3 linked regions of the Arabidopsis thaliana genome follow. The protein of the gene in region 1 purifies or fractionates together with the protein of each later gene. This does not show direct contact. Each region holds a gene or a part of one and is shown in the gene's direction. Other genes may lie near its edges.

Region 1 (7,724 bases):
CAATTTGGTTAGGAGAAGCTTCCATGTCATGATGAACGAGAGGTGGTTCACTTCTTCCTGTCTATAACGATTTGGTTTAAGAGATTTGATATGTTGATTATACACTAGTATGTAATATGAGGATAGATTAAAAAAAACTTACATGACGGATGACGTAAGGGCGAACAGCAAATCCAATGGCTACCCCGAGAATGCAGGAAAGGACAATCCCTATTGACCAAAGAGAGTATGTCCCCAAATCTGAAACAGTGAAAGAAGAATCGTTGAAGTTTCCAAAGGCATGGTTAGTCAAATCCACAAAAGATTACTTATAGAAAAGACATACTAGAATGAGAGTTTTCGAGGCAATCCTCCTCCTTAAGATTTATCTGGCGAATCATTTCATTTCCATGATCAGAAACAAGCAAACAACATCTTTGAGGAACAAAAGTTATCTCGAAATCGCTAGAGAAAGTAGCATTCTGTGCAGGTCCATCTCTGTGTCCAAATGCCTTTGAGATCCCTCCAGCAATGGTGGTTACAGAACCTACAAAGTCCAGTAAATAAAACATGCATAATCAAAATAAACTAAGTGGCTCTTTCAACAAACTAAGATTAGACAACAACAACAACTAGCATTTATACAAAAGGAATACAAGAAATGGATTAAACAAACACCTGAAGAGCTGATCTTCCGTATAGCTTTATTACTCTTATCAGCAACATAAACATTCCCTTTAGCATCCACAGCAAAACCACGGGGTTTGCTGAACCGGCTGTTACCAGCTTTACCATCTACATGACCCGAACTCCCATCCCCAGCAAACCGGTTTATCACACTATCTGCACAACCACACACACATACTCAAAGTGAGCTCAAACTTCAATTGAAAGAAAGATAAACAAAATTTTCACTTATAGTAAAGTTTAGAACTTTTATTTGCAGGTTGATCGTTTCACACACATACACACACATATTAGTATTGTGGTCCAATTTGAGATTACGGAGAAAGAAAAAATGAAGGTCAAGACTTGCAATCAAAATCAACAAGCTCTAAACATTTACTTATGCATCCATGAATTTACAACTCATATACAAACACAATTATAATGATCCGATTAATAGATGAGACAAAAGAGTGGTTTTGTGGGTGTTTACCAACGGACAAAGGAAAGGAAGTAGTGTAAAATGTACTGCCGGAAGAATCAAGGACGATCAGATTAGAAGATCCTGGTAAAGCATGAATCGTGTATGGATTCAGACCAGACTTATGGCCATCGACCACCGTTGTGACTTCGTACCCTTCTTCTAAAACTATCTTACCACTCACTGTAACAAAATCATGAGGAAAATTAAAAATTCGAATTTTGGGTTGGGAAATTCAACTGAATTAACAGATTTTTGAAAATATACCCAGATTGAAAACGACGAACAAGAAGAGAGACACGGACGAAAATCCCCAAGCCATGTCAAAATCGAGAGGAGAAAGCGACTGTTCTGTGTAACTTGTGTTGTGTTACTTATTTTTGCTGCTTAGCATCTTTAAAGGTTTTAAAAAGATACTAGGGCCTGAGCGATACTATGATGTGTTCAAGTGTAGGGGAGAATTTGTGTAACAACCAATGAAAGAGCGCGTATCATCGACCCTCTCAAATTTGACTAATAAAAACGGCCCAAGTAGGGCCCATTTATGTGTTTAACTATAAAGAAACGGCCCAGTCTATGTTTTTGTTTTGAGAGGATTGCTGGTCGAAACGTTACCGTTTAGGTGGAAATGGAAGTCATGTTTATACAACGCATTTAATTTGGCAATTATGGTTTACGAAGACTGAGAAGAAAAAAACGAGCATCGTCCATCGAGATCCAAATCCTCAGTTTCATTTTCATCTCTCTCTCTCGTATTGATCAGCTACTCGAAACTCCGGTAACGGATTTTCACAATCCCGGCGGCGAAACTCTTCTTCCCGGCTAAGTTTTCATTTTCTTCAGATTCCTCGTAAAGTTGCCGGTGGACCAAGGTCCAACTCTTGAACACCCCAAATCATGAATCCCTTTTCTTCTGGTACTCGTTTAAGGTAAATTGATTCTCTTCTTTCCTTTTTATCGTTTCTGTTTCAGGTTTCTTAGTCGTTGATCAGCTTACAAATGAAATTTGAATATAACATGATGTAATTGAGCTCGTTTTCATTTGAGGATTGAATTTTGTTGATTGGCCTGTTTCGAAGATGAATTTGGTATTGGTGTTTCTGATTCCATTTAGAATTTTGATTTTAGTCTAAGAACATGATCACACTAAGGATTTTTGGTAATCCTTTTGCTTAATTTAATTGAATATTGGATTGGTCATGTTGCTGTTGGGGTTTAATAGTGGAATCAGATCGGATTATTGTATATGGTTCTGAAGTTATAGTGGACATATGAGTATGATTCAGGGACATGATCCGTGCCATAAGAGCATGCAAAACAGCTGCGGAGGAGCGAGCTGTTGTAAGAAAGGAGTGTGCCGATATTCGAGCATTGATTAATGAAGATGACCCGCATGATCGGCACCGGAACCTTGCGAAACTCATGTTTATACACATGCTGGGTTATCCCACACACTTTGGGCAGATGGAGTGCTTGAAGCTAATTGCATCTCCTGGATTTCCAGAGAAGAGGATTGGATATCTAGGGCTAATGTTGCTTCTTGATGAGAGACAAGAAGTGTTGATGCTTGTCACAAATTCGTTAAAACAGTATCCTTACTAATTTCTAGTATTAAATCTTGATACCTTGGCCTTTGAATGGATTCTTCTTCTATGTTAAAAAATACTAGAGAACACTTGATTTTTGATTGCATTGCTGTTATGGGAATTAAGGAGAAAAATATTTAAATAGATTTGTTCCTGTTTAACCTTAAGTCACGTGCAGAGATCTTAATCACTCGAACCAGTATGTTGTAGGACTTGCTCTCTGTGCTTTAGGGAATATTTGTTCAGCAGAAATGGCCCGTGATCTTGCGCCAGAAGTAGAAAGATTAATCCAGTTTCGTGACCCTAATATCCGAAAGAAGGTGAAGTGTTTTCTAATTCATATACAGGGTCTCCTGGAGTTTAGTCGCTTTTTTTTTTTCCTTCATTGCCTTTACCATTTATGTTGTATTATATGCAGGCGGCGCTTTGCTCTACTAGAATAATAAGGAAAGTTCCAGATCTAGCAGAAAACTTCGTAAATGCTGCTGCTTCCTTGCTTAAAGAAAAGCATCATGGGGTTCTTATAACAGGAGTTCAACTTTGTTATGAATTATGCACGATTAATGATGAAGCCCTAGAGTACTTCAGAACGGTAAGTCTATAAATATTATACAGAACACTCTACTTATGCATACAGGAGCATCGACGTAATTTAATTGAATATGCGTACATATGATACTATATTACCTGTATGATGCTTTTGTGTACTATTTTTCTCTTGCAATAAAGTTTGATATCTGTGGTATTCACTTATAAATAGATTACTCTGCTGAAATGAGGCAGACAATCAGGTTGTTATATTGTTTTATCAGACCGTCAGTTTTGACAAACCCTTGTCTTTGTTTTGTCTCTGCAGAAATGCACAGAGGGACTGATAAAAACTTTGAGGGATATTACTAATAGCGCATATCAGCCTGAGTATGATGTTGCAGGGATCACAGACCCTTTTCTCCACATACGGTTGCTCAGGCTCTTGCGTGTTTTAGGCCAGGGTGATGCTGATGCTAGTGATTTGATGACAGATATACTTGCACAGGTTAGTCATAGTTTAGCAAGTGATTCTGGATATGGTTGACCATCTTCACATTTGCGATGTAATTCCTTTGTTAAACATCAACGGTTTATGGTTTTTGTTCCAGTTACCTTACATATATTTTTTCGGAAAAATGTTGTAAGATAGCTATGCTCTCTCATGTGCTGGAACTGATTCTGTTAAATATAGCATAATGGAGAAAGAATTTCATTTCGTTGATAGGGTTCATGGGCTATTATTCTCTTTGGTAGATAGAAGACTTATTGGTTACTGAGTTTTTGCCGTACTTGAATTCTCCCTCTTTTGATACCGGTCTTTGTTGTCATAGTAAGTGTTGATTTGTGGACGGACATATAAATCTGTAGGCTGCGCCAATCCTTTTCTATCTCACCATGATGAATGCATCCTGCGTCTGTTACATGCTTTGTTTTGGAAATCTTTTGAGTTCAAAGTCAGGGATCTACTGTCGGATACTTTGTTATCCTGGTTCTTTGATATTTATTCTCGTTGGTTTCATGCTATTGTAGGTGGCAACAAAAACTGAATCAAACAAAAACGCAGGGAATGCGGTACTCTATGAGTGTGTTGAAACAATCATGGCCATTGAAGACACCAATAGCTTGCGTGTGCTTGCTATCAATATCTTGGGAAGATTCTTATCTAACCGCGACAATAACATCAGGTTCAACCCCCTACACCTCAATTTTATTTGATAATAGTATGGTATTATATATGTTTGTAATGGAACTAGCTTACTTGTATTTTTCTTCTGTCTATCATCTTTCTTTGGATGTGCTTAACTCTATGAAGCACACAATGCTCTTCTGACCAACCAGCGTTGCCTTTTCTAATCTTGATTTCGTTTCTCTCAAAAACGCTGCATTCCCTTATGAAATTCATACTTTCGTTCTCTCAGATATGTTGCATTAAACATGCTGATGAAAGCTATCACTTTCGATGATCAAGCAGTGCAAAGGCACAGAGTTACAATTTTGGAATGTGTGAAGGTATTAGTATTACCAGGAAAATATTTTATACAATGTTAACTGCTAAGTATATCTTAGAGAAATAAAAAATGCTAATTTGGTTTCTGCTTCCATAACAATATAGGACCCAGATGCTTCTATCCGGAAAAGAGCTCTTGAGCTTGTCACTCTTTTGGTGAATGAAAACAATGTCACACAACTGACAAAGGAGCTAATTGATTATTTGGAAATCAGCGACGAAGATTTTAAGGAAGATCTTAGTGCAAAAATTTGTTTTATCGTTGAAAAGTAAGTATTCTATTTAAGAAATAGAATGACTACTTACTCTGAGAAAGTTGGGGGTCAGGATGATTGGAAAGTTACTGTGAATGTCTAGTTGATTGAAGTTTTTGTTGACTTTTTAAATTTTTTGATAATGTAGGTTTTCTCCAGAAAAACTATGGTACATTGATCAGATGCTCAAGGTTCTGTGTGAGGTATGGATTCAAACGCGAGAATATGCTCTGTAACGTGTTACCAGTTAATTGCACTCTTTGAAATCGTTTGAGAGTTTATATCTGCTTAAGCTAATTTCAAATGCATTGTTTGTATCTGTCATAACCTATTGTCATCTATTCCATGTTAGTAGGCTGGAAAGTTTGTGAAAGATGATGTGTGGCATGCACTTATTGTTGTCATAAGCAATGCATCAGAGCTTCATGGATATACAGTTAGGGCCTTGTACAAATCAGTCTTGACTTATTCGGAACAGGTAGCTATTTTCTAATGTTAGATTGTGCTCAGTCCTCAATCAGTTGTAACCCTTTCTAATATGGTTTCGTTGAGATGATAACCAGGAGACCCTTGTCCGAGTGGCGGTATGGTGCATTGGGGAATATGGTGATCTGTTGGTTAACAATGTGGGGATGCTTGGTATTGAAGATCCAATAACGGTGAGCATCACAATGGCAATCTTAATTCATTATTTGCTCCATGATAAATATGCAGATGCTTTTGCTTCTTGGGATTTCATTTTTGCTTTGAAAAATATGCAACGAGTATGTGACTGCCTTGAGCAGGTAACGGAATCTGATGCAGTGGACGTTATCGAGGATGCCATTACTCGCCATAACTCAGATTCGACTACAAAAGCAATGGCATTGGTTGCTCTACTGAAGTTGTCATCCCGCTTTCCTTCTATTTCAGAGTATGTCTGACCTCGTTGTGCTATCTGTTTTTATCTCAACTCGTTCATCTGATATCTGCACTTATCCCTTTTCAACTCTACACAAGATGCATATGCGCACTAGTATATGAATAATAAATTTTGGTCTGTCTACAAGAAACTGTAGCGCGTTGCCTTCTGAAAAAAGATTAGAAATATATTATACATGTACATCCTGTCCTCAACTCTCTATTGATAATTAAAAAGTTTTCTAAAATTCAATGACAGGAGAATTAAAGACATAATTGTGAAGCAGAAAGGAAGCCTTCTCCTTGAAATGCAGCAGAGAGCTATTGAATACAATTCTATAGTTGACAGGCATAAAAATATCAGGTGGAATCCCTTGTGCCTCTCTTCCTCATCTATCTTCTAGTGTAAGTTTTTCATATTCTCTCTCCCTCAAAGCTCATGATAGAGGTATGTGTGCATACAGGTCTTCTCTGGTTGACAGAATGCCGGTACTGGATGAGGCTACTTTCAATGTGAGGAGGGCCGGCTCTTTTCCTGCATCAGTTTCAACCATGGCCAAGCCTTCAGTTAGCCTTCAAAATGGTGTTGAGAAACTTCCTGTCGCTCCTCTTGTGGACTTGCTAGACCTAGATTCTGACGATATCATGGCTGCACCTAGTCCATCTGGTACAGATTTCCTTCAGGATCTTCTCGGTGTAGACTTAGGTTCATCGTCAGCACAATATGGTTAGTTCTTTGGCGGTTCTACAGCTCTTGCGTTCATATTATGGCGTGCTCATCTGCTATGTGTCTCTGAATGAACAAGTTTTTAAAAAAATCATTTTCCTCATTGCCTTGCAAAAGGATAACTCATGTTTGGTCTTCCATTTTTTATCCAATGATTCAGGTGCAACCCAGGCTCCAAAAGCTGGCACAGATCTGTTGCTGGATATTCTATCAATTGGAACACCTTCTCCTGCACAAAACAGCACATCATCTATTGGTTTATTATCAATAGCTGACGTTAACAATAATCCCTCAATTGCGCTAGACACACTTTCTTCACCAGCTCCACCTCACGTAGCAACAACTTCGTCCACCGGTATGTTTGATTTGCTAGATGGTCTTTCTCCAAGCCCATCGAAGGAAGGTAGGAAAAAGTCTTAACCTGAAAAAGATCTGTATAATCATTGAAACTCTTTTACAAAGGTCAATAACAAGTTTTCCTCCTTATTGCAGCCACCAATGGTCCAGCTTATGCACCTATTGTTGCATACGAGAGCAGCTCCTTGAAGATTGAGTTCACCTTCTCAAAGACACCAGGGAATCTGCAAACGACAAATGTCCAGGCTACTTTTACTAATTTATCTCCCAATACTTTCACAGATTTTATATTCCAGGCTGCTGTTCCAAAGGTAATTACATCTATCTTCTTTTTTTGCTTTTTTCCCCTTTATTCATCTTTCCCAATTGATAAAGCAGTAAATAGATTTCAATTTTTTCTTTAACCTTCTCTTTCTTTTGTGTAACTTCCAGTTCCTCCAGCTGCACTTGGATCCAGCTAGCAGTAACACACTCCTGGCAAGCGGTAGTGGTGCCATCACGCAGAATCTAAGAGTCACTAACAGCCAGCAGGGGAAGGTATGGCACATTCTCTGTTCGTCTTTCTATCTAACTTTATGTCTTCAACATTCCGTGCTCAGCATTGATGAATAGCACTTGATGATCCACAACATAATCTATGCTCAAATAAAGATAGGCTGAGCCTGTGGATTCAGTGACTTAACATAACACTAAGGGTTTAATGTTTATTGCAGAAATCTCTTGTGATGCGCATGAG
Region 2 (3,983 bases), on another chromosome or scaffold:
GACACCTTTTGTTGCGTTTGCGTGTTTGACCTCAAACTACTAGGCTACTAGCTATAGCGGTTGCGAAATGCGAATATTAGGTTTTATTTATTTATTTTTTGTTTCTCTTAAAACTTGGTGTGTGAAAAAAGAAAACGAACGCTTAAATTTCCTTTTTCTGTTTGTTTTTATGAATAGAATTGGTAAGTTTCATAAAAAAAAAATAGTATTAATTTGTGATTTAATATCTAAACTTACAGAAAAATGTCAAATCGACCATATTAATCGTGAAAAATGTTATTATTAGGGAAAAATGTTATTTAATACCTAAACTTACAAAAAATGGCCAAATTAACCGTGAACTCGTGAAATGGCCGTTTTATCTCTCAACAAAAAGTTGACTTCTATTTTAACTTTTAAGTTTGCGTTGACTCGGGCTAATAAACCACCGTTAAAAATTCTTCTAACAGCGTAATTAACAGCCGTTACAGAACATCCGTTAAGGTGATACGATGACGTTTTGTGCTAAAGAGAAATCAAAATCGAGAATAGAAATTCCCAAAACAAAATCAATTACCCTAAACCCAAATCGAAACCTAATCCTGCCCCCAAAATCAAAATCGAAACCCTAATTGCTTCAATTCGTTTTCTGAAATGCCATTAGTTAGAAAGAATGGCGTCGTTATGAGGATTGGATCTCCAATGCTTCACGAATCAGAGAATTTGGTGGGAGATGGAGTCGAAGCACCACCGCGAGGAGAAAGAGATGAAATTGGAGAAGAAGTTGGGGGTGAAACGAATGTGGTATCTGAGTCTTGTGGCGGAGAAGAGGGAGCACAAGATGCAGCTAAAACAACGCCGGAAGGAGAAGCAGATCGAATTTGAGAGAGAATGATTTTTAGGATTTGGGTTTTGATTTGGAGATTTTTCAGAGGTTTCGTCGACTTTGAAGTCTGTTGATAGCACAAAACGTCATCGTATCACCTTAACGGATGTTCTGTAACGGCTGTTAATTACGCTGTTAGAAGGATTTTTAACGGTGGTTTATTAAACCGAGTCAACGCAAACTTAAAGGTTAAAATAGAAGTCAACTTTTTGTTGAGAGATAAAACGGCCATTTCACGAATTCACGGTTAATTTGGCCATTTTTTGTAAGTTCAGGTATTAAATAACATTTCCCCCCTAATTATTAGGTGAGTAATACGGAGAAAATGGACTTTAATTATATTCGTAAATTGATGTTCACACATTAAGGCTCTAACTAAATCTTCCGATTATTGTCATATAAACATGTTCTAATTTGTGATAAAACTGAACTTCCACTGTCTCGCAGAGAAGGGAAAGAATATTTTGGGAGAACAACTAAAACCCTAATATCTATGATGATGTCAACTTCAAAACACATTGAAACTTGAGAAAAACAAAAATCAAAGAAAATAAAAATAAAGCCTGCATGCAAGAGAATATGCCTTCCCTCCAAGGTTAAATAAAAACAAGCTTATGTGAGAGATTAAGTATGTTCATAACTTCACAATTGTGTCCATTAGTCGCTGCTCACGTTAGTCAGGAGTTATTTCTGTTGGGTCTTATCAAAACTGTTGTTTATGTCTATTTTGATTATGGACTTACCTTTACATTTGCATTTTATATTTTCATTCTTAGTTATAAAAAAATTGCTTATACTTTTCTGTTGTTTGACCCAGCACCAAGTATAAGAACAATTAAAAAATTTGATACCTAAGAAACTAATTCTATAAGATTAATTGAAGAATTATTTTCATTCAAAATCTTTTGACATAATTGCTACGTTTAATGTGTAATGCCCTGGTCTATTCGATAAGATTAAGAAGATAATTGCAATAATGGAACAAAATTAGCTGAGAATGCAATCCGTTTGCATGGATCCGACCCGGAATGCAATCCGTTTTTAATTATGTAAATGACAATTATACCCCTGGCACTCGACATGTTTGACAGTTTGAGCAAAGAGAATTTTTTTCTTGTTGAGGATCATCGATTATCAGTTTCTGGATTTCGCTACTACAGATTTGTCCCGTCTTGAGTTACGAAATCATGGTAACAATGCTCGATCTTCGATTCTGTGTTTACGAATGCTGCCCTGGATTTGAATTTCGCATCTCCGATTCGTTCTTATGCTTCTTCTTCATTAGTTTGATACTTGGATCTGCTCTTGATCGGTGGTTTCAGATATTTCTCTTCAAATTATTCTTTGCAGATAGAAAATTTGGTGACTTTAGTTTGATAATGCTAGCTTCTGGGTTTGATTTTTCGTAGTTTCGATCCTCCTAGTTCAGTTCAATGGCTTCAAATTTGAAACCTTTGTTTGTTGGACTCTTTCTTAAGCTGGTGAGTTGATGATCCTAATAAGAAACCAATGGTGTGTTTTTGATTTGTGTGTTTTCAGATACATTTTGTGCTTCTAGTTAGCCGGCAAGGAAAGGTAAGGCTCACCAAATGGTATTCTCCTTATGCACAGAAGGAAAGATCTAAGGTATGTATTGAGCTTCATTCACACCTTGTTATGCTTTAGCATACATCTCTCATCTTACATGCTATGTATATAGGTTATACGTGAACTCAGTGGAGTGATTCTGAATCGAGGTCCAAAGCTCTGCAATTTTGTTGAATGGAGAGGATACAAAGTTGTTTACAAAAGATATGCAAGTCTCTACTTCTGCATGTGCATTGATCAGGAGGATAACGAGTTAGAGGTCCTTGAGATCATTCATCACTATGTTGAGATTCTCGATCGCTATTTTGGAAGTGTGAGTACCAAAAAAACCAGCACCTGCTGAGATTCCACCTTTACTATCTCTTACCTTAACGGAACCTCTAAATTATGATAAGGAATTGTTTTATCTGATGACCTTCAGGTGTGTGAACTCGATTTGATTTTTAACTTCCACAAGGTAATAGCATGCTGCAAACACTCAAGGACTCTGCCATTCGTCACTTGATTCTCTATCCTCTGCATCTTTATATCTTGCTGACAGTTTCTGGATTTCTTGTTGCTTTCTTAGGCATATTACATATTGGATGAGCTCTTGATTGCTGGGGAGCTTCAAGAGTCAAGCAAGAAAACAGTAGCCAGGATTATATCCGCTCAGGTACTGAGTTGTATGTTTAAGTCATCGACATGAAAATATTAGTGTAGTAGTTTTTTCTTGAGAAATGACAGTCTCTGTCTGTTATGTTGTCAAAGGATCAACTGGTGGAGGTTGCAAAAGAGGAGGCCAGTTCGATAAGTAATATAATCGCTCAGGCTACTAATCGATAAGTAGTCTTATTCATCATCTATGCATTCTTATGCAGTTAAAGTATGTTCCCTGTCTCTGGCTACAGTAATTGTTTTGAGAAATCTTTATCCATTTGATTTTTCTTGCGGAGGGATTTTCGTCTTAAAGCGTAACTTGGAGAGAAGAAATATGTTATGATTTGGTTCATAAACAAGTAAAGATTATATCGTTTGTAATCTTTGATTTCATGTTTTCCAATCCCATTCTTTCATTGTGAATCCACATGACTACTATTTCAGACCAATCTTATTTGCACATATTCTCTAGTCCAAGAGTTATGGAAGAACAGTAGATAAATAGCCTTGCTCGACTAATGAGGCAATGCAGTCATCGAACATCTCTTCAAGGGACTTGAACTTGAGCCCGAGACTCTGTATCTTCGAGGTGTCAAAGTCGTAATGCAACCTATTTAGTTTCTCAAACCTGAAATTTTCAAACAGAGTATCATCATGATCTATGATTTTAAAATTTTACAAGGTTTGAGAGATGGTTTAGTTTAAAGGGTCAGTGTCAAACCTCTTGGGGATAGGGAGTGATGGGTAACGAGCAGATAGGAATGAAACGAGTTCCTCTAGACTGATAACGTTAGAGCTACAAATGTATCTGCCTTGAGCTGCTTCGTGTTCGAAAACGACTATGTGGGTTCGTGCAACGTCATCGATATGAACATACCCCATTTGTCCATGC
Region 3 (7,626 bases), on another chromosome or scaffold:
ATAGATATTACCGTAAGTGTAGGATTTAAGTAAGGAGAGATTGGAATGGGTTGATATGATATCATCACTGCTCGTACCTGCATACATGCGCAAACCCTGCAGACCAAGCAAAGTACGATATATCAGGACAATAGGTTAAAATTGGGTTTTGATCGAAACTTATAAGAATGGCACTTTGGATGGGGGATTCTTACGTGCAGTACACCATGTCAGAGCAACATGTGAGTATCTGAGAAGCTTCTGAAAGCTCATCCATACCGACAATACATGCAACTATGGAGAATATGCAAGCCACTTGGCTGAGGCAAACCATGAAACCCTACACAGCCAAAAAGCCAGCACAGATTACGAAACTTGTTTATCGTGTTTGTAATTGCTTGTGAGTGTCAGTAACAGGCATGGTCTGGGCAATGAGGATACTTACAATGATGCAGTTGTCACATTTTGTCGTTTGAATTTGGAACTCATCTTGCAGAAGAAAGCGAGTTGAGGCCACAGAGTTTGCAAAGCAGCAGAAGACCTGCGATTGATCTGCTATTTAGAAGACCAGAAATTTGCTAAAATTTCGCGAGGTTGCCTCACAAGTCACACCTAGGTATGACTGAGATTGTATGCATATGCTACAGGAAGCATTCAGATGCTGAAATCGAAATTTCTAGACTAGCTGTGTCTATAGAAAAGACTTCATTTTTGTTGTCCAAAAAAAAAAAAGACTTCATTTGAAGATAATAGCTAACAAAATCAAGTTTCTTACCTCAGTGGCAAGACAAAGTTGAGGACATTTGGCTTCTCCACACCTACCACTACAAGGCATGTAACCGGCACAGCAGACGTACCTGCGAGACAAAAAAAACAATCTTCTTAAACTAAGAAGATGGAATTGGAATGGAGCTATATGAAAGTGACTGAATGTGTGATATACCTTGACATATCATCGTAAAGCGCACGCTTGCGAAGCAAGTATGATGCACAAGGGGCACTGCAATGAGAAGAAGAAGAAACAAGACATTTCCATATGTATGCTAAACATATCAGACCCAAAGAGATACACAAATCATACAATGTCAAACTCCTAATGCACTGAAATTATCACATACAATGATCAGAGAAACTCATATTATCTGTGAAATTCAGATCACTCCATACACATTTCTTGATGAAATGAAAATCAAGCCGATCTAAGAATTTAAATCGAAGTCAACTCTTGGTCAATTCAAATAAACCAAGATCCGACTACTACAAATATCCAAATTCCAAATACAGAGAGAACAAGCAACGAAAAATCTCAGATCAATCGAAACTTACCACCACAACGCGAAGCAACAATCTGCGAACAACACAGAAATCGATCAAATCAACAACCAAAACCAATCCAACCCACAAATTTCAAAAAGAGAGAGTGAGAAATTACAAGGAGTATCGTTCTGGATACTGTGGGTAAGATCGGTATGCCAAACATTACGGAAGTTCTTACGAAGCTCCATCTTCTCCATATCCTGTTTCGGCATTTTCACAAGGATCTGATTTCGACGACGAAATGAGGTCAAGCGAGAGAGAAGCGATTTAAGGATCAGAGACTCTTCGCGAAAAGTCTTTGAGAATCTGATCCACAATCACATCTAAAAGCTGTTCTCTCACAAACGTGTTTCTGACTTCATCTCTCTCATATCGACAACTTGAGAATACAAATTCTTCTTCTCCCCTCCCCTGGATGGCAACTGGCGTTGACTAGACGAAGTCACGAGGCAATTTCGTCAAATATCAATAATACTAGGGTTAAACTGTAATTAGTTTTATTTTAACCCCGACCTATTACTTTTTGCAATTTCGTGTCTTTGTGTCTCTTGTCACTGATCGTCTCGGAGGAGAAGAAGTGTGGAGGTTGAAGAAGGGAGAAAATGAGCGGTCATGATTCTAAATATTTTTCGACTACGAAGAAGGGAGAGATCCCTGAGCTCAAGGAAGAGCTGAATTCACAGTACAAGGTTCTTCTTCTCCGTCTAATTTCATATATGGATCTGTGATCCGCCATTTTCACGATTCTAATCTCATCTCTTTCTCGTTCGTTGAATTATGCATAATCATTTTCTGGTAGATCTGTATGATTATGGATTCGAATTGATCGGTTAATTTTGTTGATATTTTAGTTTGAAAGATTGATGATGGTGTACGTTATAATGTTATGTGTTCAATGGTTCATTTGAAACTATGTAGAAATGGAATGAAATTCAGAATAATGGTTAATGCGGGGATGTGTTTAGATTGGGGGATCATAAGTTTTGAATATGGATCAATGCAGTGGTTGGGCGATAGAAACAGTTCTTCTTTGAGTAGATGGTCCAATGGTTGTATATGGTACTGATTGAAGATGATGGAATGCGTTTTTGCTTCAGTTTCCTAAATTCTCTTTTTTTCTTTATGTTCCTAGGATAAGAGGAAAGATGCTGTTAAGAAGGTTATTGCGGCAATGACTGTTGGAAAGGATGTTTCATCACTTTTCACTGATGTAGTCAATTGCATGCAAACTGAGAATCTGGAGTTGAAGAAGCTTGTTTACTTGTATCTGATAAACTATGCAAAAAGCCAGCCAGATCTTGCTATCCTCGCTGTAAATACTTTTGTTAAGGTAACACTTCAGCTACTTTGCTTATATAGCCTACCCAAACATAAAGACCTAACATATGGCAAGTTTCTTGGTCTTTCTCTGATTTTGGTGGATGGAAAATTATTTAAGAAACTCATCGTTATTAAGTTCTCGCTTTGTATTTGGCAGGATTCACAAGACCCAAATCCATTGATCCGGGCTTTGGCTGTGCGAACGATGGGCTGTATTCGTGTTGATAAGATTACAGAATATTTGTGTGATCCTCTTCAGAAATGCCTAAAGGTTGAGTTTTTAATGCTACCTTGTCACTGCACCTTGTAGCAAATATTTATGTCCCTCAAGAATTTTTTTATTCTTTGACTGATGACATATTTCTGTATTTTCTGGCATGTTGCAATTTTTTTATTTTTCAGGATGATGATCCATATGTCCGCAAGACAGCAGCTATTTGTGTTGCTAAACTGTTTGACATAAATGCTGAATTAGTTGAGGATAGGGGGTTCCTGGAAGCCTTAAAGGATTTAATATCAGACAATAATCCAATGGTTGTGGCAAATGCTGTAGCTGCCCTTGCAGAGATCCAAGAGAATAGTACTAGTCCCATATTTGAAATCAATAGTACCATCCTCACAAAGCTCCTTACAGCTTTGAATGAATGTACTGAGTAAGTCGTTCCTGATTTCCATCTCTTACTTTCACTCAGATTGTGTATGATTGACTAATTTTAGTCAGATCATATTAGGTTTTGTTTTCGGAGAACAGACAGGCTGGCCTAAATATTCACAGTAGGATAATCTGTTGAGTTGCGGACTTGCTTCTTGTGTTAAAGCATCAGTTTATCTATGCATTTTGTTCTGTATCTAACCTAAAATTGTGACAGAACTTTGTTGTTATTGAAGTTGAAGGTTTTCTGTGTAGATAAAGGACTCATGGTTTTGAACATTGGGGAAAGGGATCCATAAAGCGACTATTGTTTCCTTTTGCTGTATACATATTTATAGCTTTCAATTTTTAATACTGTTTGTGTTCTTCACAGATGGGGTCAAGTTTTTATATTAGATGCTTTGTCGAGGTATAAGGCATCTGATCCTCGTGAAGCTGAAAATATTGTTGAGAGAGTCACTCCAAGGTTGCAACATGCCAACTGTGCTGTTGTGCTTTCAGCTGTTAAGGTGACACTTTCAAAATATATACTTCTCTCTGGAATGTCACCTGTTCGCCAGTCAAAATTGTTTATGAAGTGTCAACTATATTCCCTTACATAATTTTCTAATGCCAGTCCTCTTTATTTCATTGCTTTCCAGATGATCCTTCAGCAGATGGAGCTTATTACTAGCACAGATGTGATTCGAAATCTTTGCAAGAAGATGGCTCCTCCCCTAGTTACATTGCTTTCTGCAGAACCTGAGATACAGTATGTTGCACTTCGTAACATTAACCTTATTGTCCAAAAGAGACCCACTATTCTTGCCCATGAAATCAAGGTAGCTTGATCCTGTCTCGTAGACTCTCCGAAATAAGCAATTGATATATTCTTATATTTGTTGATAATGCTTCATGGTTTTATTGCAGGTGTTCTTCTGCAAGTATAATGATCCGATATATGTTAAGATGGAGAAGTTAGAGATTATGATAAAACTTGCTTCTGACAGAAACATAGACCAGGTAATCCTTACTACACTTTTATCATCTGCCGTTTGTCCAAGTTATTTTGTTTTGGTGCACATCATGATGGTTTCTAGACCATTCCAATGTAGGTTCTTCTGGAGTTCAAAGAATATGCCACGGAAGTAGATGTTGATTTTGTTCGGAAGGCTGTTCGTGCTATAGGCCGATGTGCCATCAAACTAGAAAGAGCAGCTGAACGGTGCATCAGTGTTTTACTTGAGCTGATCAAGATCAAAGTAAACTACGTTGTGCAGGAGGCCATTATAGTCATCAAAGATATCTTTAGAAGATATCCAAATACGTAAGTTGATTTTGGCCTCCTGAAGTGCTGTAATTCTTTTTAATCTTGGCTATGTCTTTTAAAATAATGTGCAGGTATGAGTCCATAATCGCAACACTCTGTGAGAGTCTAGACACATTGGATGAACCAGAAGCTAAGGTAACAAAATTTGTCGTTTGGGTAGTGTATATTAGCTGGAAGCTTCTCCATCGCAAATATAATCGGTGAAACTCATACTTGTATTTGTTGGCATCTTGAAAGGCATCTATGATTTGGATCATTGGTGAATATGCTGAAAGAATCGACAATGCGGATGAACTTCTTGAAAGCTTCCTGGAGAATTTCCCTGAGGAACCAGCACAAGTCCAACTGCAGCTTCTTACAGCTACAGTCAAACTATTTCTGAAGAAGCCAACTGAAGGCCCACAACAAATGATTCAGGTTCTGCCATGACCATTATGAAGACTACCTTTTGCTCTCCTAATCGATTAAAGCGCATGTATTTGACGACAGGCCTGGCTTTTGCCATGTTTCAATTTTTCAGGTTGTCTTGAATAATGCTACTGTTGAAACAGATAATCCTGATCTCAGGGATCGTGCATACATCTACTGGCGTCTTCTATCGACTGATCCTGAGGTATGTTTTCTTAATATATTCTACTAAACTAGTTCAAGGACATTGGAGGATGAGCAACAATCATCTCTTTTACCTACAGTCATCAGTGCTCTTCTTTTGACTATAGGCGGCCAAGGATGTTGTTTTAGCTGAAAAGCCTGTGATTACTGATGACTCAAACCAACTTGATCCGTCGCTCCTGGATGAGCTACTTGCAAATATATCCACCTTGTCCTCTGTGTATCACAAGCCGCCAGAGGCTTTTGTAACCCGCTTGAAAACCACAGTTCAGAAAACGGAGGATGAGGATTATGTAGAAGGGAGCGAAACAGGATATCCCGAGGCATCTGGTAATCCGGTTGATGGTGCAGCTTCCCCGTCAGCTACCACAGGCTATGTCACAAAGCTAGCTGCTGCCCCAGCTCCTGTACCCGATCTGCTAGGTGACCTAATGGGGTCAGATAATGCTGCAATCGTCCCTGTAGATGAACCCACAACTCCGTCAGGGTGAGTTTTGAATGGTGAAAATTACATTAAAAGTCTCTCTCACAGTTGGGGTGTGCGATGGACTGGTTTTATTCAATCATATCTATTTGGATCACCTTGTTGTTTATAAAACTCATTGAATCACCTAATATTGTTTGCAGTCGTCCACTGCCTGTTGTCCTACCAGCATCAAAGGGTCAAGGTCTGCAGATTAGCGCTCAATTAACCCGACAAGATGGTCAAGTATTCTACAGTATGCTCCTCGAGAACAACTCGCAGTCACTTCTTGATGGCTTCATGATTCAGTTCAACAAAAACTCATTCGGCCTTGCAGCTGTCGGATCACTTCAGGTAATAGTAGTTGGATATGCTCTACATCTACGCCTATTATATATCCTGGATTCCTGAAACTGATGTCCAGGTTTTGTACTATTATAGGTTCCGCCTCTGCAACCCGGAGCATCTGCCAGGACAATGATGCCAATGGTATTGTCCCAAAACATGTCTACTGGCTCCACCAGCTCGGTATTGCAAGTTGCCGTCAAAAACAACCAGCAGCCTGTCTGGTACTTCGAGGATAAGATTGTACTTAACGCTCTTTTCTCAGAAGATGGTCGGATGGAGCGCGGAACCTTCCTCGAGGTAAAAGACTAATATATGATAAAGAGTTCATTAACAATACAGCACCATGTTAGTCATTGACTAATAGTGGAGAGGGCTTATGATATTAAGATGGGCGAGTAATTAGTGACAGATTTTGTGCCTTAAGAAGCCTGGGGGAGTTAGGGTGCTGTAGATCTTAACATATGATATGGTTTTCATCGATTTAAGTTTCTAGACTCAGTAAGAACTGAAGGAAGATATTGATTTCTGATCATAACTATATACCACAGTCTTAAAAACCAGTTCTTCTGAGTTATAAAACATTTGTTTTTTTGATTAGACATGGAAATCGTTACCGGATTCAAACGAGGTGCAGAAAGAATTCCCCGGGATAACCATCACGAGCGTGGAGTCAACACTTGATTTACTCGCCGCATCAAACATGTTCTTCATAGCAAAGCGTAAGAATGGGAACCAAGACGTCCTCTATCTTTCGGCCAAGGTACCAAGAGGCATACCGTTCCTGATCGAACTAACGGCCATAGTGGGTCAACCTGGTCTGAAATGTGCAGTCAAGACTCCAACCCCTGAGATCGCTCCTCTCTTCTTTGAAGCAGTCGAAATTCTCTTCAAGGCTTGATTTGATTTTACACTGCCCTAAGGTAAGCAAATTTCTTCTTTTAGTGTATGTAGTAAGTGAATTGTTGCCGACTTCTTGTTTCTAATTTTTGTGTTGGAACCCACTCGTTTTTTTATTCTCGTAAGAGCTTTGATTTTTGATGTTGTCGTTGCGTATATGCCCCAAAAGGTTTTTGATTAAACTAGTGTGATAATGACTTATTATCAGCAAATGCTATTTTTAGTGTTCAGTGACCGACATGAAATCAAAAAGTTTCCTAAGTGGAGCGAAGAGATTCGTACACGTAAACCAGTTGAGAATTTGGTACCTTCTTCACAACAGATAGGCGTAGATAGATAGATACTGGGCCCGTAATGCGACGTAGCAATTTCCTAATATCAATATCAATCATGATTTCCTGTAACATGCGGTTACAAAATAGCTTCGTCGAAACTAATCTTCTTTTAATTATCGATTGATTATTAAATCAATTCAAAACCAAAACTAATTGAAAATTTTAAAGCTTGAGGGGGACTAATAGTAACGTGAGATTGAAGTAATGCCACCGAATATAAGGGTTGAGTAAGGGCGCTACACGCCATCACATAAAAGGGATTATACTATCAATCAACTAATATTTTTGTAACTTAAAATGAAATACCAAAGTTTCGACATTATTGGTTTATGAAAGCTCACCATTGTATTTTAATTTGATCAAAACTATACATTTTAGTTGAGACCGTAAGTAC

The links.
Region 2: the proteins of GAMMA-ADAPTIN 1 (region 1) and AT4G35410 fractionate together in Arabidopsis thaliana (co-fractionation; one large-scale study listed by BioGRID). This does not show direct contact.
Region 3: the proteins of GAMMA-ADAPTIN 1 (region 1) and AT4G23460 fractionate together in Arabidopsis thaliana (co-fractionation; one large-scale study listed by BioGRID). This does not show direct contact.

Annotation. Positions count from the first base shown.
Region 1 is NC_003070.9:8,439,356-8,447,079, forward strand, and holds the start of GAMMA-ADAPTIN 1 (gamma-adaptin 1), read left to right. Parts: upstream 1-1,723; 5' UTR 1,724-2,023; coding exon 2,024-2,055; intron 2,056-2,098; exon of another isoform or gene 2,099-2,412; coding exon 2,413-2,715; intron 2,716-2,890; coding exon 2,891-3,032; intron 3,033-3,130; coding exon 3,131-3,304; intron 3,305-3,568; coding exon 3,569-3,748; intron 3,749-4,272; coding exon 4,273-4,427; intron 4,428-4,661; coding exon 4,662-4,752; intron 4,753-4,855; coding exon 4,856-5,019; intron 5,020-5,152; coding exon 5,153-5,207; intron 5,208-5,359; coding exon 5,360-5,482; intron 5,483-5,567; coding exon 5,568-5,663; intron 5,664-5,789; coding exon 5,790-5,917; intron 5,918-6,163; coding exon 6,164-6,268; intron 6,269-6,368; coding exon 6,369-6,631; intron 6,632-6,791; coding exon 6,792-7,034; intron 7,035-7,123; coding exon 7,124-7,299; intron 7,300-7,420; coding exon 7,421-7,525; intron 7,526-7,701; coding exon 7,702-7,724. Other genes in the region: AT1G23890 (NHL domain-containing protein), read right to left, coding at 1-57, 143-240, 326-526, 658-822, 1,139-1,309, 1,394-1,448. UniProt on the Arabidopsis thaliana protein: Subunit of clathrin-associated adaptor protein complex 1 that plays a role in protein sorting at the trans-Golgi network and early endosomes (TGN/EE).
Region 2 is NC_003075.7:16,830,520-16,834,502, forward strand, and holds AT4G35410 (Clathrin adaptor complex small chain family protein), read left to right. Parts: upstream 1-1,819; 5' UTR 1,820-2,052; coding exon 2,053-2,055; intron 2,056-2,404; coding exon 2,405-2,491; intron 2,492-2,564; coding exon 2,565-2,765; coding exon of another isoform or gene 2,766-2,795; intron 2,796-2,873; coding exon 2,874-2,909; intron 2,910-3,020; coding exon 3,021-3,107; intron 3,108-3,202; coding exon 3,203-3,277; 3' UTR 3,278-3,483; downstream 3,484-3,983. Other genes in the region: DRL1 (dihydroflavonol 4-reductase-like1), read right to left, coding at 3,572-3,719, 3,813-3,983. UniProt on the Arabidopsis thaliana protein: Subunit of clathrin-associated adaptor protein complex 1 that plays a role in protein sorting at the trans-Golgi network and early endosomes (TGN/EE).
Region 3 is NC_003075.7:12,243,171-12,250,796, reverse strand, and holds AT4G23460 (Adaptin family protein), read left to right. Parts: upstream 1-1,778; 5' UTR 1,779-1,898; coding exon 1,899-1,985; intron 1,986-2,428; coding exon 2,429-2,626; intron 2,627-2,661; exon of another isoform or gene 2,662-2,681; coding exon of another isoform or gene 2,682-2,684; intron 2,685-2,773; coding exon 2,774-2,887; intron 2,888-3,018; coding exon 3,019-3,269; intron 3,270-3,641; coding exon 3,642-3,777; intron 3,778-3,909; coding exon 3,910-4,089; intron 4,090-4,177; coding exon 4,178-4,270; intron 4,271-4,362; coding exon 4,363-4,574; intron 4,575-4,648; coding exon 4,649-4,712; intron 4,713-4,814; coding exon 4,815-4,994; intron 4,995-5,097; coding exon 5,098-5,190; intron 5,191-5,296; coding exon 5,297-5,676; intron 5,677-5,816; coding exon 5,817-6,006; intron 6,007-6,093; coding exon 6,094-6,297; intron 6,298-6,598; coding exon 6,599-6,898; 3' UTR 6,899-7,126; downstream 7,127-7,626. Other genes in the region: AT4G23470 (PLAC8 family protein), read right to left, coding at 78-96, 195-319, 425-520, 755-836, 923-979, 1,306-1,327, 1,412-1,508. UniProt on the Arabidopsis thaliana protein: Subunit of clathrin-associated adaptor protein complex that plays a role in protein sorting in the late-Golgi/trans-Golgi network (TGN) and/or endosomes.